2 linked regions of the Stegostoma tigrinum genome follow. The protein of the gene in region 1 interacts with the protein of each later gene in a pairwise test. Links are inferred from orthologs where the notes say so. Each region holds a gene or a part of one and is shown on either strand. Other genes may lie near its edges.

Region 1 (10,584 bases):
ATCTTTTAAAATGCTTTATGTTAAAAGGGATCTTTGTACAGTTAGTGTTCAATAAACTGTTGAGATGGCATGTACCCAGCATCATTTTCTTTTTACACTTCTAAATGGCAACGACCCACACTCTTGCCAGCAGTTCATTTTTATGCTTTTCAGAGGGATTTCTAAGAGCTACAAAAGGTTCACATCTTTGCCAATATCCAGGATAGCAATTTTATACAGCAGGAGGGTGTAGCGCTTCTATAATTCTTTCGGGTTCTGAGGATGTCAAAGTGCAGAAACGTAATTGCATCAACATAGAAACTCTTCAGAACTATGAATGATCTTCAAAAGCTCCAAACACTTTGCATCACTTGTACTCATTACTCTCTGGGATGCTTGTTAAACAAATGAAAGCCTCCCACCCACATACATCTGGAGAGGTGGCCTTCCCATTTGTCCAACAAAGGAACTTTGTTTGCAGATAAGCACACACTTTACCAAAGAAAGCAACTGTCACTTAACTTCTCCCCTTTCTAATCACATCTGCCATCTATTGCTAGTGTAGCAATTTCGGGGGAACTTTGTCCCATCCCTCCCCATAAGAAGACTCGAAGTTAGACGCCTTTTCCCACCCAATTCCAAGTTGTGCAGGGTCTCATCTGTCAAGTGATTTCAGGTCACAACATCAGCTTCACACACTGCTGTTCTCAAAAAAGGAAATTGGGGCATTTAAAAGGTGTCAGACAAAACACATGCCACAAATCACCTCTAAGTATAAACAAACATACTTGAAACATTTCACACCGCAGCTTCGTGGGTCAAACAATCTAACAGAAAATTCAAATCACGTTTAAAGCTGTGCATTATTCTATACCTGCTATATTAGCTGTGTTGTTTTCAGGAAATAATTTAGTTGACTGACTTCTATTTCAGGCTATCCCAAATCTTCAATAAATTCAGAATGTAGTCTTTTCAGTTAACATTTTACAGAAAGACCACAATCAACAGAATGGAAAATCTGATGCCAAAGGAGGTTACAGAGTGGCAAAGGACACGTCCAGAAAGGGTTCTAAGATAAGGGCAAGAATTTAACATTTTAGATGCTGGCAGATTGGAAATTAATAACCCACAATCAGAATTATGGGAAAAAACATCAAACTCCTATGCATAATTAGGGATGCAAAATTCAAATACTGGTAAAACAAAAATGGGAGGCCATGAGCACAACTCTGCCTCTTGAACCACTGGAGTCATATTGTATGGTTGTGGCAAAACATCTGGTAAGTGTGAACCAAGTTCAAGTTCCAAGATCAAATGAAAGGCAATCTTACCCAGATGAGACATAAGGCAGTAAATCAGAGTTCTCTGACTTAGTGATTTTGCGCTAAAACTGCTAAGTGGGGCTAATTAGGATCAACTAAAAGCAAGTACTGGACATGCTGGAGAGCTGAAATAAAAACAGAAAGCAGAAGTCCAATATGACTCAAAACATTAACTGTGTTTCTCTCCAGAGATGCTGACAAACTGCCTAGGTTTTTTCTAGCACTTTCTGATCTTATTTCCAATGAGGTTCAAGTTTGCTTGAACAAATCTCCCAACATTCTCGGAAGGGGAGCAACAGGTTGTAAACAATTCCTTCATTTTACTAAATAAATGGATCAAAACTTCACCCCTACTTGAGCAAATATTCTGGAAGATCAATTTTACTTATGAAAGCTCACAATCTCATTTTGTTTTTGTTCTGAAGTTGCTCACTTTATTTACTGCACATAAAAGACAAAACAACTTCAAGAAGAAGTATATTTTTTAATGACCAGATGGCACAAGACTGTCAGTCACATTCAAATGATATTAAAGGGTGCTGTTACATATCAGCCGGACTGAGTTCAGAATTTAAATAGGACTTGAGGAGTACTTCTGCTTTTGAGGTCAATCTACCAAGTACAACAGTTTACTTCCAAACAATAAAGAAAATTGAAAATAAAAACAAAAAACAAAGCACTTTGATAGTCAATGATATTTGAATCGTCAGTGGGAACTAACCAGGTCTTTTAAAACACATTTCATCAACAAAAACTAGTTCTTGCCCATTCTCTAAGGCCATCTGAACAGTGTTTTATAAAACAAATTACACAATACAGCTTCAGGACAAAGAAACAAAGGAATCAAGGCCTTGAGGGGGAGGGGGAAGTGACAGGCAAAGCACAAGTCACGACAAAAGAGAGAATCCAACCAAGAATATACTGAAAATTGGTTCCTAAAACACTGCTTTTTAAAGTATATTTCAATCACAAAAGAAACACAGTTTCACAGGAATTTTACACTGAATTTTGACTAAAAAGAGATATTTAGGAATGATCTGGGCTGCCATTTAAACAAGCAGAGACTTCCCCCACTGAAGGACTAAGATTGTAGAATATAGTGACACGAATATACGAGGCCATGCAACATATACTCCTGGTATAAGGGAGCAAGTAGGGAGAAAAATGGCAAAAGACAGTGTGTCACAGCAAGCAAAGACATCATTAGTCCTTAAAATACTAAAAAGGAAATCAAGATCAAAGCAATCAGAACCTCTAGCAAGGTGCAAACAGTGCAGCAGTTGACCCTAAGTACGACCGTTATAAAATTCACTAAATTGGAGTTCTCCTTTTATTATTAAAGGAAAAATTGATTCCACAATATTTTACAGTTTGTTCACTGAGCTCTCATTTTGGCCTGGAGCATATCTGCGTAAAAGTGCGTGATTCATTTCCTGAAACGACACAAACCTTAATCATTGTTCATAAACAGGACTAGCCAAAATTTGGAAACAGTTTTAATGTGAATTTAGGAAGAGGCATACAGTACCGCAGAAAGAAATCAGAGAAAATGTAAAAATATGGTGTTCATGAAAATTCACCCCACATCACCTCACTCATTTTCAGGGCAGGATGATTTCAGTGCAGTGACAGCAATTGTAAAATAGGAAAAAAAGTGCCTGGAAAGTCTCACTATCAGAACAAGGGCTTTCAGCGGTAGGAGAGTAGTTCTGGAAAATTACCAATTCCAAGGTTCTTCTTAGCACTCTAAGAGGCAACACTATCACTGCATTTATGTTACAGCAGTACAAGGGAAGTCACAGTAGCTATCTAGAACGGCATCCAGTGAAAGAAGATACTTTTACACATCAACATGCTTCTTGATTTATTTTAGAATATTTAAAACCCATAACTGATTAATTTCCCCCTAAAAGTTGATACAAATTTTGTTAACGTTGAAATTAGCATAACACATTTAGGACTTAAGAATCAACATTCATTGTAGGAGTGAAACTGATAAGACAGTGACTCTACTAACATTGGTATAATTATTGAAAATATTTAATTGCTGTTCCACTACTGTTTTCGTTGTCGGGCTAACTGCTACTGATGGTATACAAAACAATTATTTTAATTATCACAAATAGTCGAATGGATATCAGTTTGCGCAGTTCTGTTGGTTTGCACAGCTGATTGGTTCAACATAAAGGTTAAGCTCTCCCACATGGAAGCAAGTTGCTATTTTAAAATACAGTGATAAAAAACATCCGATGCTGGAAAATACAGACCATCAGCATCTGCGGTATTTTGCTTTTGTGTTAAAAGACTTCATCCTTTTCAAATATTTAACTTTCATTATCTTCCATTCCAATGATGGACTCAATTTAATAAAAGATCAAACTGATTCAAGCAAGAATTGAAAACAACCAAATCTTAGAAACCTCATATGCAATTGTTACTCCAACTGTTGTCAGTGCATTTCGAGAAGCACACAGTCAAGATGTTGACACCAGGTTTTCTGCTGACAATGAAAAGGCTGGATTTTGGAAATGAACGATCTATACACTGGAAATGTGATGCTAACTGTGCTTTAAGATGACACTGACAGCAGTCCGATATGCGGAAGCCCATCATCATAAATTCAAGTTACAAACCTGTTACGGCTCATCCACATGTATTTGCTCCTTGATGCTCCACATTTAAATGATTAATTGCTTTTTCATAAACAGATTTACAGATAAATTACACTCCCTAACTCCAACCAAAGGGCAATCACTCTTGCTTGTATGAAAACAATGGATATTCCCAGATCCTGTTTAACGATTTTCACCAGAAACATGTCCGATTGTTTACCAACCTCCCACAATTCACTACTTTAGCACTAACAAAACAATTACTTTGAAGCATCCCTTCAACATACAGCACTATAACACCACTTGGTAACTGACAATTTGTTTTACATTCACATTACTGAGAAACATTGAAGATTTCAACCACTTCCTCTCAGATTTCCCACAGCTTGTATTTCCCAGGAGCATTACTTCATAGATCAGCTGTGGTTTTGTTTTAAAAGAAACAGCTTCGCTGGTTACGCTTCTCGTTCATGATTTCTTTGTTGCTGGGTTGAAATGACTGATATCCTATCCTTTGATTGATGGAACAGTCCATCTGTTCTGGTGAAATGAACCCTGGACATTATCTAACAGTCAGCTCTTTCCATATGTGATTCCTGAGAATCATAATCTTCCCAAGGAGCATCTTGTGGATATGGAGATTGACTATGTGAATGACAGCTTTTCTTTCTTAACTATTACCGTGTTCTTTTCCACGGGGGCCAGTGACACAAGACTAAATATGTTGCTCACACTATTTTTCAGCCGTGCTGTTATGAAGACTATTCTATCTCTTATTTTGTTCCTAAAATCCACTCTCAGTTCTTACCCAGGTATATGTCTCCGAAGGACCCGCTGCCGATTTTCCTGCCGAGTCGGTACCTGTTTCCCACTCTGAGTTCCATGGTGGGTTTCGCCTGGTGCCCACTGTGTGAGTTTGATTTTAACCCGGGTTACTCAGAGAAACTCTATTTCTCTCCCTCTGTGTGTGTGTGTGTCTGTCTGTTCTCAGTCTCTCTCACAGAGGGATTTTCACCAACACTTTTCTCGCTTCTTTCCAAATGCACCCCGACAATATCCACACCAGACGACACGTTAAACGCCGTAGATTATGCTCCACCAAATTTTATTGTCATTCTGGCCGCCTGCACGCAGGATTACATCGGATTCGAGTGACTCTCTCTCCTTTCTCCTTCCTCGGCTCTAGCTCGCCATTGCCGGACTGCGAACGGTCTGACATCACATCCGTTGTGTGACGTCACTGGACAGGGTGGTGCGACTGTCGGTGACGCCATACACATTGAGTTCCTGCAGTGGGAATCATCCTAATGTCCTCCTCTGTACACCTACAGAGAAAGCTAATGCCCCATTGCTTAATATTAACAGGCAATAGTTTTCAAGTAAGTGCATTTACCAATTGGTAATGACAGACAATTGCCCCTTGTATGGGTCATAAAGCTGTTGCCTTGACAAAGCAGATGTAAATATTGAAGTCTTAAATAAATTTTGCCCCATGGTGTATAAAAGTAGAAGTGATTATCCAACAGGGGAAAACAAACAAAAAAAACACTTTTTCCACATCTGATATTTTACATTTTATTCCACACCCACAAGGAAAATCCAATTTAATGTGAATGATGCATACTGTTTGAGTCATCTGGAATACTTAAACATGGAATTTCCTTCAGTATGAGCAGTTACTTCATTTCCAAGTATTTTACTGGTTTTGTCCTTGTACTTTAGCACATCAATAAATAAACCATATAACTCTGCAGAGATAGCTAGAACTGCAGATGCTGGAGTCAAAGACAACAGTGTGGAGCTGGAGGAACACAGCAGGCCAGGCAGTATTAGAGGAGCAGGAAAGTTGACTTTTCAGGTTGGAACCCTTCTGCTGCTCGTCTGATGTTGCCTGGTCTGCTGTGTTCCTCTAGCTCCACACTGTTGTCTCACATAACTCTGCAATTATTTTAGGATATATTATCATAAAGGCATAAGACAACTTGGAATAAGAACCAACCATTCTTTCCAGCTTTACAAATGAGTGCTTGTACATAATTCTCAAAAAGGTACCAGGCAGGTTCTGCAAGTAGTCAGGAAGGCAAATAGAATGTTTTTCATTGCAAAGGGGATAGAGTATATAAGTAGGGAAGTCTTGTGATAATTGTACAGAGCAGTGAAATTGCACAGGGAGTGGTGAGTATAGTTTTGGGCTGCTTACTGAAGATGGACACTTTGAAAATAATTCAGAGATGGTTAACTGGACCGATTTCTTTAATAAAGACATGTTGGAGAACATTCCTCCATCTACATCAACAGAGCAGAGGTCAAGAGGGTTGAGAGCGTCAAGTTCCTGGGAGTGATGATAACTGCCAACCTGTCCTGAACTTCCCACTTGGATGCAATGGCCAAGAAGGCACAACAACACCTATTCTTCCTCCGATAGCTTAGGAAATTTAGCATGTCTGTAAGGACCCTTAACAACTTTTATGGATGCACCATAGAAAGCATACTATCCAGGTGCATAACGGCCTGGTATGACAACTGCTCTGCCTACAGAAGATGGTGTGTGCAGCCCAGACCATCACAGAAGCCAACCTTCCATCTATGGAGATAACAAAGTGTGGAGCTGGAAGAAAACAAGCAGGCCAAGCAGCCTGTTAGGAGCACAAAAGCTGATGTTTCAGGCCTAGACCCTCCATCGATGAATTCCATTTACACTGCTTGTTGCTGTGGACAGGCTGCTGACATCACCAAAGATCCCTCCAACCCAGGTAATGCTCTCTGACAACATCTTCTATCAGGTAGAAGATAGAGAAGCTTGAACACACATACCAACAGGTTCAGGAATAACTTCTTTCTTGCCATTATTATACAGATGAATAGGCTCTCTAACTTCAAATAATATTGACCTTACTTCATGCACCTCCTGTGGAGTGTAACTCTCTCTGTCCAAGCACCCTATGATCTGTATGTCTTTGCTTACTATTATCTGCCTGTACTGCTCGCAAACAGAGATTTTCACTGTATTTAGGTACATGTGACTACAGTAAATCAAATTATGAGGAAAGTTTGGACAGGTGAGCCAATACCATTTTGAATTTGGAAAAATGCAAGGCGATCTTGTTGAAAAATCCTGATGGGGTTTGAAAGGGATGAGAGATGATTCGCCTTGTGGAGTAATTTATAACTAGGCGCACAATTTAAAGGTAAGGTTATCCCAATTCAAACAGCAATGAGAAGGACTTTCTTTTCTCAGATGGTCATTAAACTCTGGAATTTGCTTTCACAGAGAGCTGGAGCACTAACTATATTCAAGTCTAAGTTAGATCAACAAGGAAGATAAGGATCATCAGAAGCAGGAAGAAAACTGGGCCACATTCAGATTAGCCGTGATCTTATGAATTGGGGAACTAGCTTGTTGGGCTGAATGGTCACTCATATTCCAATTTCTTATGATCTTTGCATCTGGCTACTCTATCAGGTCCTGTAAAAGTATTCTCCTAAGCAAAGATAACTGAAGGTTCATTTTAGTTCATCTATCATAGGTACGTTGGAATAAATTCTAAGTAAATCCATTTGGTTGTCGAAATTATACCAAGCAGCCTTGATAGTTGCCTTCTTGATTTAAACAGAATCTACTTATATTATGACCCAACTTTCTAATCCATCTTATTCTATTTTGAACAAAGTAATCATTCAGCCCTTGGCATCCTTGCCGATATTCCTTCCAGCTTATGTGTTCATTGGTCTGAGATTCCCACATGTCAGTAGAGATGTAGTGCTCCCTTTCCCCTCCAAGTGATAGCTTAACATTGCAGAGCTTAGAATACAAAAATTTATTTACAGAGTCTTTTGCCTAGTACGCAGACAATGCGGCCTGTCCATCACAGCTGGTCATGCGTGACTAGACTCTTGATACTGGGGATATTGGACTGGGGGAGGATACTCACATTGAAATACAGGAAGGTGGGGACCATGGTTACTCTACAGACCATGAGCTTGATGCTGGATTTCAGGCCTTGGACTTCAAACACTCTGTTCCTTAGGCACCCAGAGGCTGCACTAATGCATTAGAGTCGATGTTGGATTCTATCTTCAATATCTGCTTACACCAAGAAAAGGCTCCAAAGTTATGGGAAATGATCCTCACCATTCAGTGACTCGCTGTGGATTTTGATAGTTTGGGGACTATGATGTGTGACAGAAGTGGAATGGTAGAGAACCTTTGTTTTCTGTATGTTTAACCTGAGGCCCATTTTCTCACATACTTTGGTGAATGCATTGACCATGATTTGTAGCTCAGCCGCTGCGTGTGTCCACATGCGAGCATCGTCTATGTACCGCAGCTCGGTGACAGAAGTTGGGGTGGTCATGGTTCTGATTTGGAGTCATTGAAAGTTGAGCAGTTTCAAACTCATCCTATAGGTTGGCCACACTTGTCAAGGAGCTTCGTGGAGATGTGGTGGACTGTTGAGAAGACAAAAATGGAGAAAAGCATTGGTGCAATAACAGAGCTCTGTTTAACCCCAGGTGGCACTTGTATTGGATGAATGGTGTATCCATTTCTGAGGATCATGATCTGCATGTCATCATGAAGCAAGCAACAAATTTCTGCAGACAGCTGAATTTGATGAAGATATTCCACAATCCAACATGGTTGACTGAGTTGAAAGTCTTTGTGAGATCGAAGAGGACCATGTATAGAGGTTGGTGCTGTTTCCTGCACTGTTCTCGGATTTGCCACACGATTGTCGAACGGTGGGAAAACAATTATTTTTCATCTGAGGTTCATATTATTAACTTTATATTCATGTTTGCTAGGTATTTGCTTTCTTTTGAATGAAATTATTGGCTTGCATCCATATTCCTCTCAAGTTTTACCAAACTATGTCTTATCTCCTCCCATCCAAATTTTCTGGATTAGAATGATTTTGTGACACGCCCTAACTTGTTTTGTAATTATTGTATTATTTTATCTGGTGATTAGTAAAAAATTATGAAGACAGGAAATCATATTCATTGGATACCATGAACAAATAGACAATAAAGCTGAGAATTGTTGAGCCATCTTATTCTTTTAACACTGGTAATAGAAATCTCTCAATTGCCCAAATGATAAATTGGGCAGAAGAATCAAATCAATTAAATGCATAATTTTTATTAATATATAGTAATTTCTCTCAATGGAAGGAAAATATCAAGAAGATATGCAAATTGTAAAACAACAAACAAATACCATATTGCAATTTATGTTGCATTTAAACAAAATGTCAAGAAGAAGAGGTTGCCTGATGGGAAAGAAATAAGACATGATCAAGCCAGGACATGGTTATAATTGATTAAAATAACTGAAGGTTCAGAACATCCAAGATCAGGCAATGTCTTTCACCCTCACTCCTTTCAAGACCAGATGCTGGGCCTTCCACTCTCTTTCTAGGAAAGGCTCAACACCTTCCAACAGTTATGCTCCCAACCCTTTGCTTCCTTTCCCAAATTCTGTGGTATATTTGGTCTCTTTATTGCATTTTGTCCAGTTTTGACTTGTTTAAAATTTCTCAACCAGAAATGTGCTCAGCGGGCTTATGTTTGGTCTTCATTTTCTCTGTTTAGAAAAGTATCAGAACATTAGAGTATTTGTGGAAGTTTGATGGCTTTGTCCAATTGTGAACCATGATAAATTTTCAGTTTTCCTCTGGTTGACAGTATTGGCAGACTACTTTCTGAGAAAATGGGTTAATTGTAGGAAAGAAAATAACAAAAGGCAGTCATAGGTATGATGTAATTTGACATGTTGCTCAATTGAGGTAAATTTCTGATGAGAAAAGGAACATAAAATGTCACAAGAATCCAATACACATACATATAATTTTATGTTTATGGTAAATTGGTGAATATGGCTGTGTTTCATTTAATACCATATATTTTGCCAAAACATAACACACTCAACAAGTTTATACAATGTTACTAAGCTTATAGGGTCGATTAATTTCATGTTTTATGTATAAACAGTCAATTATATCTCAGCTGTCATTCAAAGTCACTTTTCCTTCATTGACATTTAAATTATGTCCTTAAGGTAGATTCACAGTTTGTGTAATTTTACTTTAAAATACCCTGAATACAGGCATTCCCTAGCTGAAGTTTGCTTTAATAGCTTTGAGTTCCTCTGATGTGTCAAGGAATATTATTGTAACTTTTCAACTACATTGTTGGGAGTAAAACAATTTATTTTTGCTTGCCACCACCAGAAATGCCATTTCTGATACTTTGATAACAAAGTGTGAAGCCGGATGAACACAACAGGCCAAGCAGCATCTCAGGAGCACAAAAGCTGATGTTTCGGGCCTAGACCCTTCATCAGAGAGCTCTCTGATAAAGGGTCTAGGCCCAAAACATCAGCTTTTGTGCTTCTCAGATGCTGCTCGGCCTGCTGTGTTCATCCAGCTCCACACTTTGTTATCTTGGATTCTCCAGCATCTGCAGTTCCCATTATCTCGGATACTTGGACCAGGCTTTGTCAATTAGTGCCAGGTGAGGTGGTGTTCCATGGCTTTGTGTCCATGATCACTTTGCATCATCACTACCCTCCTGGCCCTTTAATAAACTGATGCCCTAGTCAAGGCAGCAGCACCTCCCAACATGGTTGCCACCTCTGTTTGTCACTGGCACCAGACAGGCTGTTCCCACAT
Region 2 (10,760 bases), on another chromosome or scaffold:
AGGCCGAAATCTACAGTTAAAAAATATTGCTGTTGTGTTATCTTATTGAGGGATTTTAATCAAAGCATAATCACTAATGTTTAAATCACTATTTACAAAGGAAGAATTCAGTTCCGATAGGTTTACTTAGAAGTCAAAAGTGAAACAGAAATTAGACATAAATGACAAATTTGCAAAAAAAAGCACCAACACAGCAATAGATTTATAGGGGAATTATATTTAATCCACTTAATCCACTCAACATGTAACTGCCTGAGGTCATATTTTACCTGACCCTGTCTTGTAATGCAATCTGGGTATCCAACATCTACTTATTATTGTTTGTTGCTGGCAATGTTTGCTAATGGATTGGTACACATTTCAGGTCAAGAAAATAGATTATGAACACTCAAATTATATTATTTCTATCAATATATCAGATGATACTACAGGGCAAATTTTGCTACATTATACTGGGGCAGAGAGATCCAGGGTTTTCTGAGAATAAATTTTCGTTAATTGATTTGCTCCCACTAATCTTAATCAACGGAAAATTATTAGCATTATGAATTGGATGCCATGACCACTGAGTCAGGAGCAGAGCCTTGCAGAATTTATCCTTGATAACTCACAAAGAAGTCATTGTAATTCTGACATGCTTAAAAGATTAAACAAAAATCACATGGCAATCATGTACAGTAAGGAAGCAAAATGTTAAAAATAGAACAGTGTGATTTTTTCCCCCATTACAGATTACCAGAGAACTTATTCATTTATATCAAATGTTTGTTTTGCATCTGTATTTAGCATGAAGCTTCAATTAGCTTTGACTTCATAATTTATTTGCATCATCTAAGTTCAATAAGTTACTGCCTTGTGGCACAGCCTGGCTGATACTACTTTGCAATGAATGCTGTGTATTTATTCTGTACATAAGGTTATTTTTATTGAGATTATTCTACCTAAATCTGTGCAGGGCCAGACCTGACTGAACACAGTAGAAGCTGAATGAGGGTGCAAGAGTTGGTGGTGCAATATTGAGAAGTGGGGTCCTTTTGAGTGCATCTCCCATGTCCCTTTTGCCATTATTTCCCTCCTTACCCAGTGCCACAACATTCCTGTCACCCTTCTTCCAAGTAGCTTGGTGCAGATCAGTGATAGGGTGTGAAGCCATGGATAAGATATGCGATGTTTTGTTTAAAGCAGCATACTGGTTTGGCAATAAATGTTTACAATGGCTGTGGTCATGACCTCCACAAGCCTACAAAGAATCTTTCTTGAAGGTAGTGATGTTCACCATGGCAGGCAGTTTTGCAATTTGTTGTTCTGTTAAACTATTCACTATTGAATTGTGCCTTCCAGCTCCTCCCTATCAGAAAGATAGAGCTTTTTTGCACACAAGGTGATCAGATAATTATTTTTGGCATTATCATAAATCTCTGTACCCATCTTGTCTAATTAATTGTCAAGTATGTGTGCCTGTAGGATTCTTGCTGTGCATGAAGAACCTGAGGCACTGTATCTAATTGACCAGAGCTGGATTAGGATAATGCCTTCCAATGGAGACTTTGCACAGTTGCCCCTGCCAGTGGTATCTGATCATCCTCGTTAGTGAGAGCTGACTCATCAGGTGAAAACCCAATAACTTTTTAAGTGGATCAATTGAAGTATGGGCACTTGTGTAGATGCATGGTGGAACCTTGTTTGGTGGTGTAACTTGAGAAGGAATGAGGTCCACAATGGCATGAGGGGTTATGGACACAATTAGCTCAGCCATAATTTCACTGAGTGGTGGAGAAAGCCTGAGGGGCTGAATGGTCACTCCCATTTCTCATGTTCTTATACTGTTATGTCCTGTAATATTTGCTACACTCATACAGGCCTTAGAAGTCTAAAAGTAAATGAGTTAGTTGTGGAAAATCACAATGTAAGCAATTACCAGCTTCACGTCTCCCCTCAGTTCAGCCATTAATGAAATTGAGTCAGTACATGAATTTAAGATATTTCTTATTCTGTCAAAACCCGCCTGTGAGGTTTCTATACTTCCAGCTGTGACTGAAAGGCTGAAATGTGCTTCTTATTTCCAGGCTTCCTTTATAGTTTCTGTTTCTTGTCCCCTGTCATTTGTGTTTTGTACTTTTTTCTTCCACCAGGGCTCAAAAAAGCAGAACTATAAGTTTGACTGAAGGCAAGGGTGACCATGAGACAGATGCATCATATTACATATGAGTTGAGGTGAGTGGCAACAGTTCATAGATAAAAGAAACGATGGAAAGGACAGAAATTTATGGCTGAACAACACAGAGCTATTTCTAAGCCAAGCAGCAGAAGCAGCCATGATCATAATAAATGGCACAGCAGGCTTGAAGAGTCGAATGGCCTACTCCTGCTCCTACCTTCCATATTTTTATGCATAGAACACCACAACCTACAAGTTCTCCTCCAAATAACACAGCACTAGTTCTGAGGAAGGATCAGTCAACCTGAAATGTTAGCAGTGATTTCTCTCCACAGATGCTGCCAGACTTGCTGAGCTTTTCCAGCAATTTCTGTTTTTACATCATGTAATTGCATCTTTTGTCATTACTTATTGTCCTAAATTTTGGAACTGACTACCTAATAATACTCTGGGAGTGCATTCACCTCTCATAATGCAGTGTATCCAGAAGTAATCCCACCACCATCTTCTCAAGGGGAATTAGAGGCAATAAATGCTCATGAATGAATAAAAAGAGAAATATACTTTTCCTGTCCTACTATCTGCAGTACCAAATTTATCTGGCTTCACCTTAGTCGAGGTAGAGTCAAACATTTGCAGTTAAAACCTGTTGGTTTCTCAAAGAGGTAAGTAAAGGATAATCAAAGTCTTTGCCTTTTGGTGGAACTCAGCAGAATGAACTGACTGAGCTGCATCTTTGTTTTTTTTAAACCATGCTGTTCCCTCCAACAAAGGTATCATCAGGTCTGAACTCCTCTTCAAAGAGTACAGTAAGTTTCAGGTTGTCTTCCTGCGATAAATACTAAATTTCAGTGGCACATTGATTACCATTCTCTCCCACTTTTTTCCTGAAAGATCAAATTAATGGCTAGAATGTAGTACACTTCTTTCCTCCTTCTTTTAGTCTTTCCTCGAAGAATTAGGGGGCTAACAACACTACATCGTCTAATGTGAGTTCCTATTTGGACAGCGAGAATTCTGCCAAACTTCGCCCAGCACTGCAATCAAATTTAAGAATCAAAAATGTTAATTCATTTCTTTTTCATTTTTGGCAGCATCTTCCATAATCCTCTGCTTAATCAGAATGGGTCACCACAGTTGCAGATTGCACGCTGAGTGAATTGCTCTAGGAGTACTCCAGCAGTGGTTGGAGCAGCTGCACAAGTTGTTCTAGATGCACAAACACAGATAAAATAACATGTGTAATATGTATGTATGTATATGTGCATAGACAAATCATGCAACAATGATTGAGATTTATATTAAAAATATATTGAATGACAGTTTTCTATTTGTTAGGATTTTACAAAAGACAGGATTTTTTCTCTGGCCACCTGAAAAGTCAGCAGGGAATGTATTTCTACGTTGAAAGGGTAATTAACTGGGGTTAGAATTCCCACCGATTGCACAGGTGACAAGTTCCATCTCAGAGCTACCAATCTCGGCAGTTAGATTCTACTAATGGCAGTTCAGTAACCTGAAATGGGACCAAAGTTGTTAGCAGATTCTTTGTTCAGTTGCAGATAATCTAATGGCGGGAAGAAGAGGAGAGGTTTGAGCAGGTGGGGAAAATAGGTTGGTGTTCTTGATGGAGGGAAAGCTCCTGATGGCTCAGATCCTGGGATGTGGAGAAGTGTCCAACATGGAAAAGAGGCTGTTAAACAAAGTGATTCAAGTCCTTTCACACTGCTGCCCCCGCCCAACACATTTTCCAGTCTGAGGTGTCAGCAAAGTGATTTCTTACATGGCTTCCCTCCTGCTCCTGAATTTTTCTCACTTGCCTGAAATTGAAGTTAGAGGAAACTGATCTTTAAATTGCCAAATTAAGGATCTCAATTAAGTCAAGGATAGGTGTGCTCTCCGAGGCTTCTCTTGTTTCATTCTAAAATGGGAAACTATTTAGGGAGGGTGGTGACAATGTTATGTAGGGATTTTTTTATACACCTCAACTTCACACACCTGTTGATGGGTAGCGGGGGGGGGGGGGGGGGGGAGGAGAAAGTCAAATCAATTCCACATGTCATAAATTCACTTTCCTTGTATTCTTCAAAGAGAGTTTCCACTTGTAGATTATGTTCCAAAAATCTGAAGCATGCACTCTGGACGGAACAGAATACCTTTGCTTAACAATGGCCCTTAATTGTTTGCATTGTACATTAGAAGTAATTTAAGAACATTCTGCATTCTTTGGCCTCCACCAAACAAGAGAAGATACCTCACCAGAACACTATGTACATGCCAAAACTCATTAGTTAAACAATGTCTTGTTGCCACATAATATGGCAAGATACTAAGTCACCATAATACTTCAATACAAAAAAAATTACACCATTCGTGATCAAAATACCTTTCTTACACTTCCTACAGAGACTGTTAAAATAAAACTTTTGGATGGAACCCAAATTTATCTTTGATAGATCTTCCAAGGTTGAATACAAAAATGTAGATGCTAAATCAATCTGTGGGGTTCAGGATTCCTGCTAGCATTGTTATATACAGAACTTTCTGGTTTTTAACTTGTTCTGAAGTCCAAATAGATTGTTCTGTGTGTTTAAAAACCATCTTGAATCCATGATAATAGTGTGAAGCTGGATGAACACAGCAGGCCAAGCAAATCTTGAATCCATTTTGGGTTAAATTGAAAAACTTCTGAATTATAAAGGAAACATGTACCCTTGTGAACCATAAGATCAATCGTTCTTATCCACAACAAATTCAGAATAAGGAAGTAGAGCAAACAGCGCAGGTCATGGGGTGTGATTGAGTCAAATTGAACGGAGATTGGGTATAATGAACATTGGATGAAGCAGAGAAACAAGTCAGAAAATGTTTTTTTTTTAAAAGACAAAGCTCTAAGAATAATACAAACTGTAGGAGTAAGAGTCGAGTTGCAATTGCTTTTATCTGAACCTCTAAGGATAACTGATAGTTATGTCAGGTCAGATAATGACATTATGAATAAGGTAGTCATGGCCCAAAATAGTGGCTCGTAACAATTCAAATTGTTTCGTTTTCACCGGGCAAACGCAGCAATTTAACACTCAGACGGCGATCGATTGAGTTATGGGGAAAGCAGCACCAGTGCGGTGCTTTCTATGGTGATTATATATTGTAGATAACTCATCCCACAGAGGATCACTTCTTGGTCGCATATTGTTGTTCTGCTTTTTCATTAAAACGCGTAACCAGCACTCGCCATTACACAGCCAATTCTCAGCTTTTGTTTTTCTCTCCTATTGTGCACCTTTCATTGCACTGCCAGCCGCCTGACATAAGCCACACCTTGTGCAAGTCACGTTTGCATAAAGCATGCTCTTGCACAGCCAGCGCCGGAGCAGAACGCAATTAATAAAGATGACAAAGGTAGCTCTGCATGAGCAGAGAAGCCCGAGCACAGACACATTGGGATCCACGTGAAGGTTGTGTAGCGCAAGCGGCTGATTGACAGCCAGTGCGGCTAATGGTAGCGTGCTGGCTGCCAGGCCTCCTGAAGTGCCAATGGTCTGCCTCTCAGGACACGGGCGCTGCCAGCCAATGGGAGAAGTCGAGGGCCGGACTTGTCACGTTCCCCGATGCGTGCAGCCGCGCGAGCTAAGTGCAACATTGCAAGTGAGCTTGGATCGCGCTGTATTGCGAGTAGGGAGATCAGCGCTGTTTGAGGTGAGGTGTTTCCCTATGCTTCACCTTAGCTTGTACAGATCTTCGGGGGAGAGGGCTGGTGGAAATATTAGTTATTCTTATTTTCCGACACACAAGATTCTCGAATTAACTATGCAGCTGATGATTGTTGGTGTTTCCTTCACTTTATGAAATTAGTAAGTCCGGTACAACCAGATAGGTATTTGGTGTCCGTGCCTTCAGTACATGGGTTGGGTCCCTGTGTTTTATAGAACGGTTACATAATCCCATCAGTGCTCGGGAAATGTGTTGATGCGAGCCGAGGAAAATCGTGCAGTGGTTACATTTGCTTGTCTGGAAGCACACACGCCCAGGTAAGGTGAAGCTACCCTGTAGGTTGTTGCAATTTTTTTGGATCAGCTGTGACCCCTAAGTTTTTATTTGAACTACAATGTGTTAAGTTCTGCTCTTGTTAATTTCAACCAAAGACAGGAAGAAACAATCTAGTGGTGCTTGTGAACCAACATTCCTTTCATTCGAAGTGTAGGATTTTCTTGTTTACAACTGTTGAATCTAAAATTATGGTTAGTGTTACGCAGTTTGTTTTTTTTAACTTGATGCTTTTTATTAAGCTGTCAGGTTTTTTTTTCTCCTGTGTGTCTGTTACATTTGAAACCATTTCAGTCCATTCCAGAGATCTTCTGATCAGGCAACCAGATAGTTTGGTCACTTAGAACCCACAGGGCATAGGAGGCTATTCGGCATCTTATTGGGCTAGATGGTACTGCCCTTCCTCTTCCTCTTCCCCAGTTGGGTGCAGGAGTAAGAGGATATTTGGCCAATAACGTTTGGGGATGCCTGATGCTACAAGTTGAAAATGGGTGGGTTATGCCCCACGACCAAATCACAATAATCATACATGTGATAATTGCATAATATCAAGCACATGTAGTTATTGTGCTGCTTTCTCCTAAATTGCTGTTGCATTTTTCACAGCTGAAGGCTCACTGCTGTTAAATTATAGCAATTAGAATTACTTATGCCTGAAATCTAGTAGATCTATGAAGTTTGTCAGTTTGGAGTTATAGTTCCAAATCCAAATTGTTTGCATATGATTTCCAGTGATTTTTGTATCCAGCAATTATTATCAGATCTGAGGATCCTCAGAACGAAGCAACTTATTTTTATAAATTTAAGTTCAATATGATGTATGATTAGTCAAGACACCCAGAGCAAAATGCCAATTAAATTAATTTAACAGAATCAGTTAATCTCCATGATTTAGAACTTAATCCAGAGGATAAGATTGTGTTTGGATGGATGTGTATGATTTACATGCATTGTTATGCTTTTATTTGAATGTAACATATTGTTGTCATCATACACACTTTGGTGGGTATCAGCGTGGCAGTTTTCTCTACGATTGTATTAAAAACTAGTCAGTATTTAAAGTTACACCCGATTACAGTTTATTGTTGCCAAAACAGAAGATTATGCTAAATCTTGTTCATAGCGTTTACTGTTTTCCTGTGTTTTCCAAATATTAGAATTAATGTCAGGTTCACACAAGTCAGTTTCCAATTGATCAAATATGTGTGTTGTATCATTGTCCCAATACTTTGTTCTTGTCCTAATCTGTCATGGTAAAATGTTGTTGTTGATCTTGATTTCTGAAAATGTTCCGCCTGTGGAGTGCTTTTACGTGTAAACAAAAATCTGTTTTGATCTGCATGATACTGTTTTGAACGTGACTGTGATTTGCTGCTTATTTGGGTCATGGAGAGGGATAGCGGAGAAAAGATTTTGTTGAAACTATCATAGTCAAACCAAGTGCACTTGTATTTTAATAATCCCAGATTTACAAAAATTTTAAAAGAAGACATTCAGCAGGACAGTCTGCAACTGTAAAAATGAAAGCCAGACCATGACATTTCAGATGTAAAGTTTAATCGAATGGCTGGTTGTGATGAAAGGTTACATACCCAAAATGTCAAACTTTCTTTTATCTTTATAACGGTCACTGTAGGTAACTAACTGTAAAGTCCATAGATCTGTTGGGAATGACTTCTCTTTTACGTTGTGATGTTGATGTTCAACTTCTGTTGCTGAAGCAGGAAATATAAATTAATTTAAAACATCTCTGGGTTGTTGGGCCAGAAATGATTTTTGCATCAGTGGTCTATTTTGAGGTGAACTAGTTAGACTTAAAGATGAACCATTGCATATTGCTGCATAAGTTTGAGAGCTTTAATTATTTTGTAGGTGCCCGAAAATGAACTAGTTCAGCAAAATAAAATGCCTGGAATACATCCATTTTTTTTAATTGTCATAAAAGAATAAATGTAGTAACTTATGAAATATCTATGCTTCAAACAGCAGTGAACTGAACTACCTGGTTCATCTGCATGTTTGATTTCTTTAAAACTTTTTTATTTTCTTTTGCCCTTCTCTCGAATGTGGGTGCCACTAGAATTTGTTGGCCTTGAACTGAATGTCATGCTAGGTCATTTCAGAGACCAGTTAAGAGTCAATCAATGCGGTGGGCCTGGAGTCACATGAAGGCCACACCAGGTGATGATGCAAAATTTCCTTCATATAAAAGGATATTTGTGAAAATGATTATTGTTAAAACCATGTATATTGTTTCCATTGTCTCCTTTACTGAAACTAGTTATATTCCAGATTTATTAAATTCGCACTGTACTAGATTTGAAACCGTGACTACAGCACATTAGCCAATACCTTTGAAACAAAGGGGTTGCTATTAATCCAACATCTCCTCTTAACTGGGCTGTTGAACCAGCGTTTAAAATTCAGATTACATTTGTTTCTTGCTACTAATATTATTTTAAAGGGAAGTAATTAAAAAGTAACTTACTAAACAAATAAACTTGATATTTTTTCAAAACTACATGATCAGTTCAGATTTGACAGGTAAAATTCATTTTCCCAGGAGAGTAATGTGGCGCTGAAAAGTTTTAAACAAATTAAATAAAATTACAAGTTTTGAGAATTGCAAGAATATACATTTTGTTCTCATGTTAAACATTCTCTATATACAGCCCAAAGGAGTCTACACAGGTTCGGGTCCTCAGTCTATTATGATGAGAAGGCCTTAGTTTGTGACCTTTCCACGTTTAACATGAATAAATATTAGTTTGAAACTGAAAAGTGCAAGCTACTCTAGAAATTGGTCGAGATATGCAGGTTGAGTAAATAGCTCCGGATTTTCACCAGGACAGGCACACTTTACTGAGAAGCTCATCTTGTGCTGTAATGTGAGTGGAACAATCTTGTCTTGAACTGAATGCTTGAAATCCAAGAAAATGTTCTACTCAATGTGCATTTTTAAATTTTTAAACTGCACTGTAGACATGAGGACTTTTTGCCTGCTTTGTCCTGTTAAGGAGAATCCTGTACACCACCATGGTGGACTGAAAATTCCATGTGGTACAAAATGAATTGGGCAGACTCATATCTGTTCCAAATGAAAGGGACCACACTATAATAAGTTCCCAAAACATGGACAAATATAAGCAGTGCAACTGATCACAAGGATGGATGTTGTAGTAAATTAGGATATGTCGCACTGGAACCGGGTAGTCCACTACTGTGGAGTTGAAACCTATTATGAAATTAGATGAGGCATTTTTTCTGATCTTTTGCTTGTTTAATGTTTGGTATCCAGTGATCCATTGATTGACAACATTTGTGCACGTGCGATCCCACTCCACTCTGTCCCATTGGGAATAGTGTTCCTCCCCAATCAACCCTATTCCTGTTTCCAGATTTTGTGCCTGAAACTGTTTTGGAATTAGTAATATTCTTCATTGTTTTGAAATAGATTGTGTTTTATGGTGGTTTTACGGTATTTGGTAAGAATCAAAAGCTACCGATCACACACATCAATAGTTTGAAGAGATAAAAGTAGGGGGATAGCTGACTTCTTAGGTTTGACTTTTCTGATCGAATACAAGTCATCCTTAATCTTAGAAGTAAACTTTAGTTGCTTTCTATTTTTACGGCTGGCAAGGAAAGTGCATAAATTCTGTCAAGTTTCCGGGAGAAGGTAATTGGCCAGTGTATTTCTGATGGTTTTGATAAATACATTTCTTATTCTTGTTCTTCAGACTGACATCAGACTATGGCTACCTATTCAGAATCTGGGTTCCAAGAGGCTGAGTTGGTCCTGCATTCAAGTAGTGCCAATATTCAGGATCAGAGACAAGATCGAGAAGTACAGCAACTGCATGATGATGTGGAGATGAAAAGTAATGGCTCAAGTGGGACTGATTCAAATGTGAATGAATTTTCAGAAAGCTCGAGCAGTAGCGCCAGTCAAAATGGAAAAGATTCAGCTCTACTTTTGGATTCATTAGAGAGCAGCAAAAGGTAGGAAACTGTACAAATGTATTTGGAGCAGTAGAAGTACTATTACTGCTCCAGCATTTTAAAGGGCTGTTCAAAAATGCAATGTTTGTCTGTCAATGCCTGTAAAGCCTGCTGATATTATCACCAAGTGATATTGAACTTCATAATGGAATTAGACTTGTCAGATGTTTCATTGTGGAATCACACTGAATACATTTCAAAAAATGTGATTTGTCAAGCGACTTGGTTCATTAATTGTTGAGGTTTGGTTTGATACTTTTGATGATCGTTCGAGCTAAACAAGCGCTGAAACAGTTAGCCATAAGAATAGTGCTTCCATCACTTTAGATTTGCTTTGCTTTGCTTTATAAGTTAAAAGTGGCACTTTTTCTTTATTTGTCCAGATGTGTTCTAGACCAAAGGTGGGAAAAGTATTGGAAAAAGTCAGCTGGTTTCTTCTTCCTTCTTCCTTCTTGTCTCTTAACCCCAGCAGAAAAACTTCTAATATTGAAATGAAACAGGTGAAAAACTATTGTTTCATTCCTAACACATTCATTATGGCAATGCTATAATG

The links.
Region 2: the proteins of casein kinase I (region 1) and per2 interact in binary tests that used the Homo sapiens proteins (3 or more experiments, as listed by UniProt). The link is inferred for Stegostoma tigrinum from reciprocal best matches to the Homo sapiens genes CSNK1D and PER2.

What each region holds. Positions count from the first base shown.
Region 1 is NC_081375.1:27,796,750-27,807,333, forward strand, and holds the start of casein kinase I, read right to left. Parts: upstream 5,138-10,584; 5' UTR 4,798-5,137; coding exon 4,722-4,797; intron 4,257-4,721; exon of another isoform or gene 3,935-4,256; intron 1-3,934. UniProt on the Homo sapiens protein: Essential serine/threonine-protein kinase that regulates diverse cellular growth and survival processes including Wnt signaling, DNA repair and circadian rhythms. It can phosphorylate a large number of proteins.
Region 2 is NC_081367.1:19,821,907-19,832,666, reverse strand, and holds the start of per2 (period circadian protein homolog 2), read left to right. Parts: upstream 1-5,786; 5' UTR 5,787-5,857; exon of another isoform or gene 5,858-6,189; intron 6,190-9,945; 5' UTR 9,946-9,959; coding exon 9,960-10,207; intron 10,208-10,760. UniProt on the Homo sapiens protein: Transcriptional repressor which forms a core component of the circadian clock.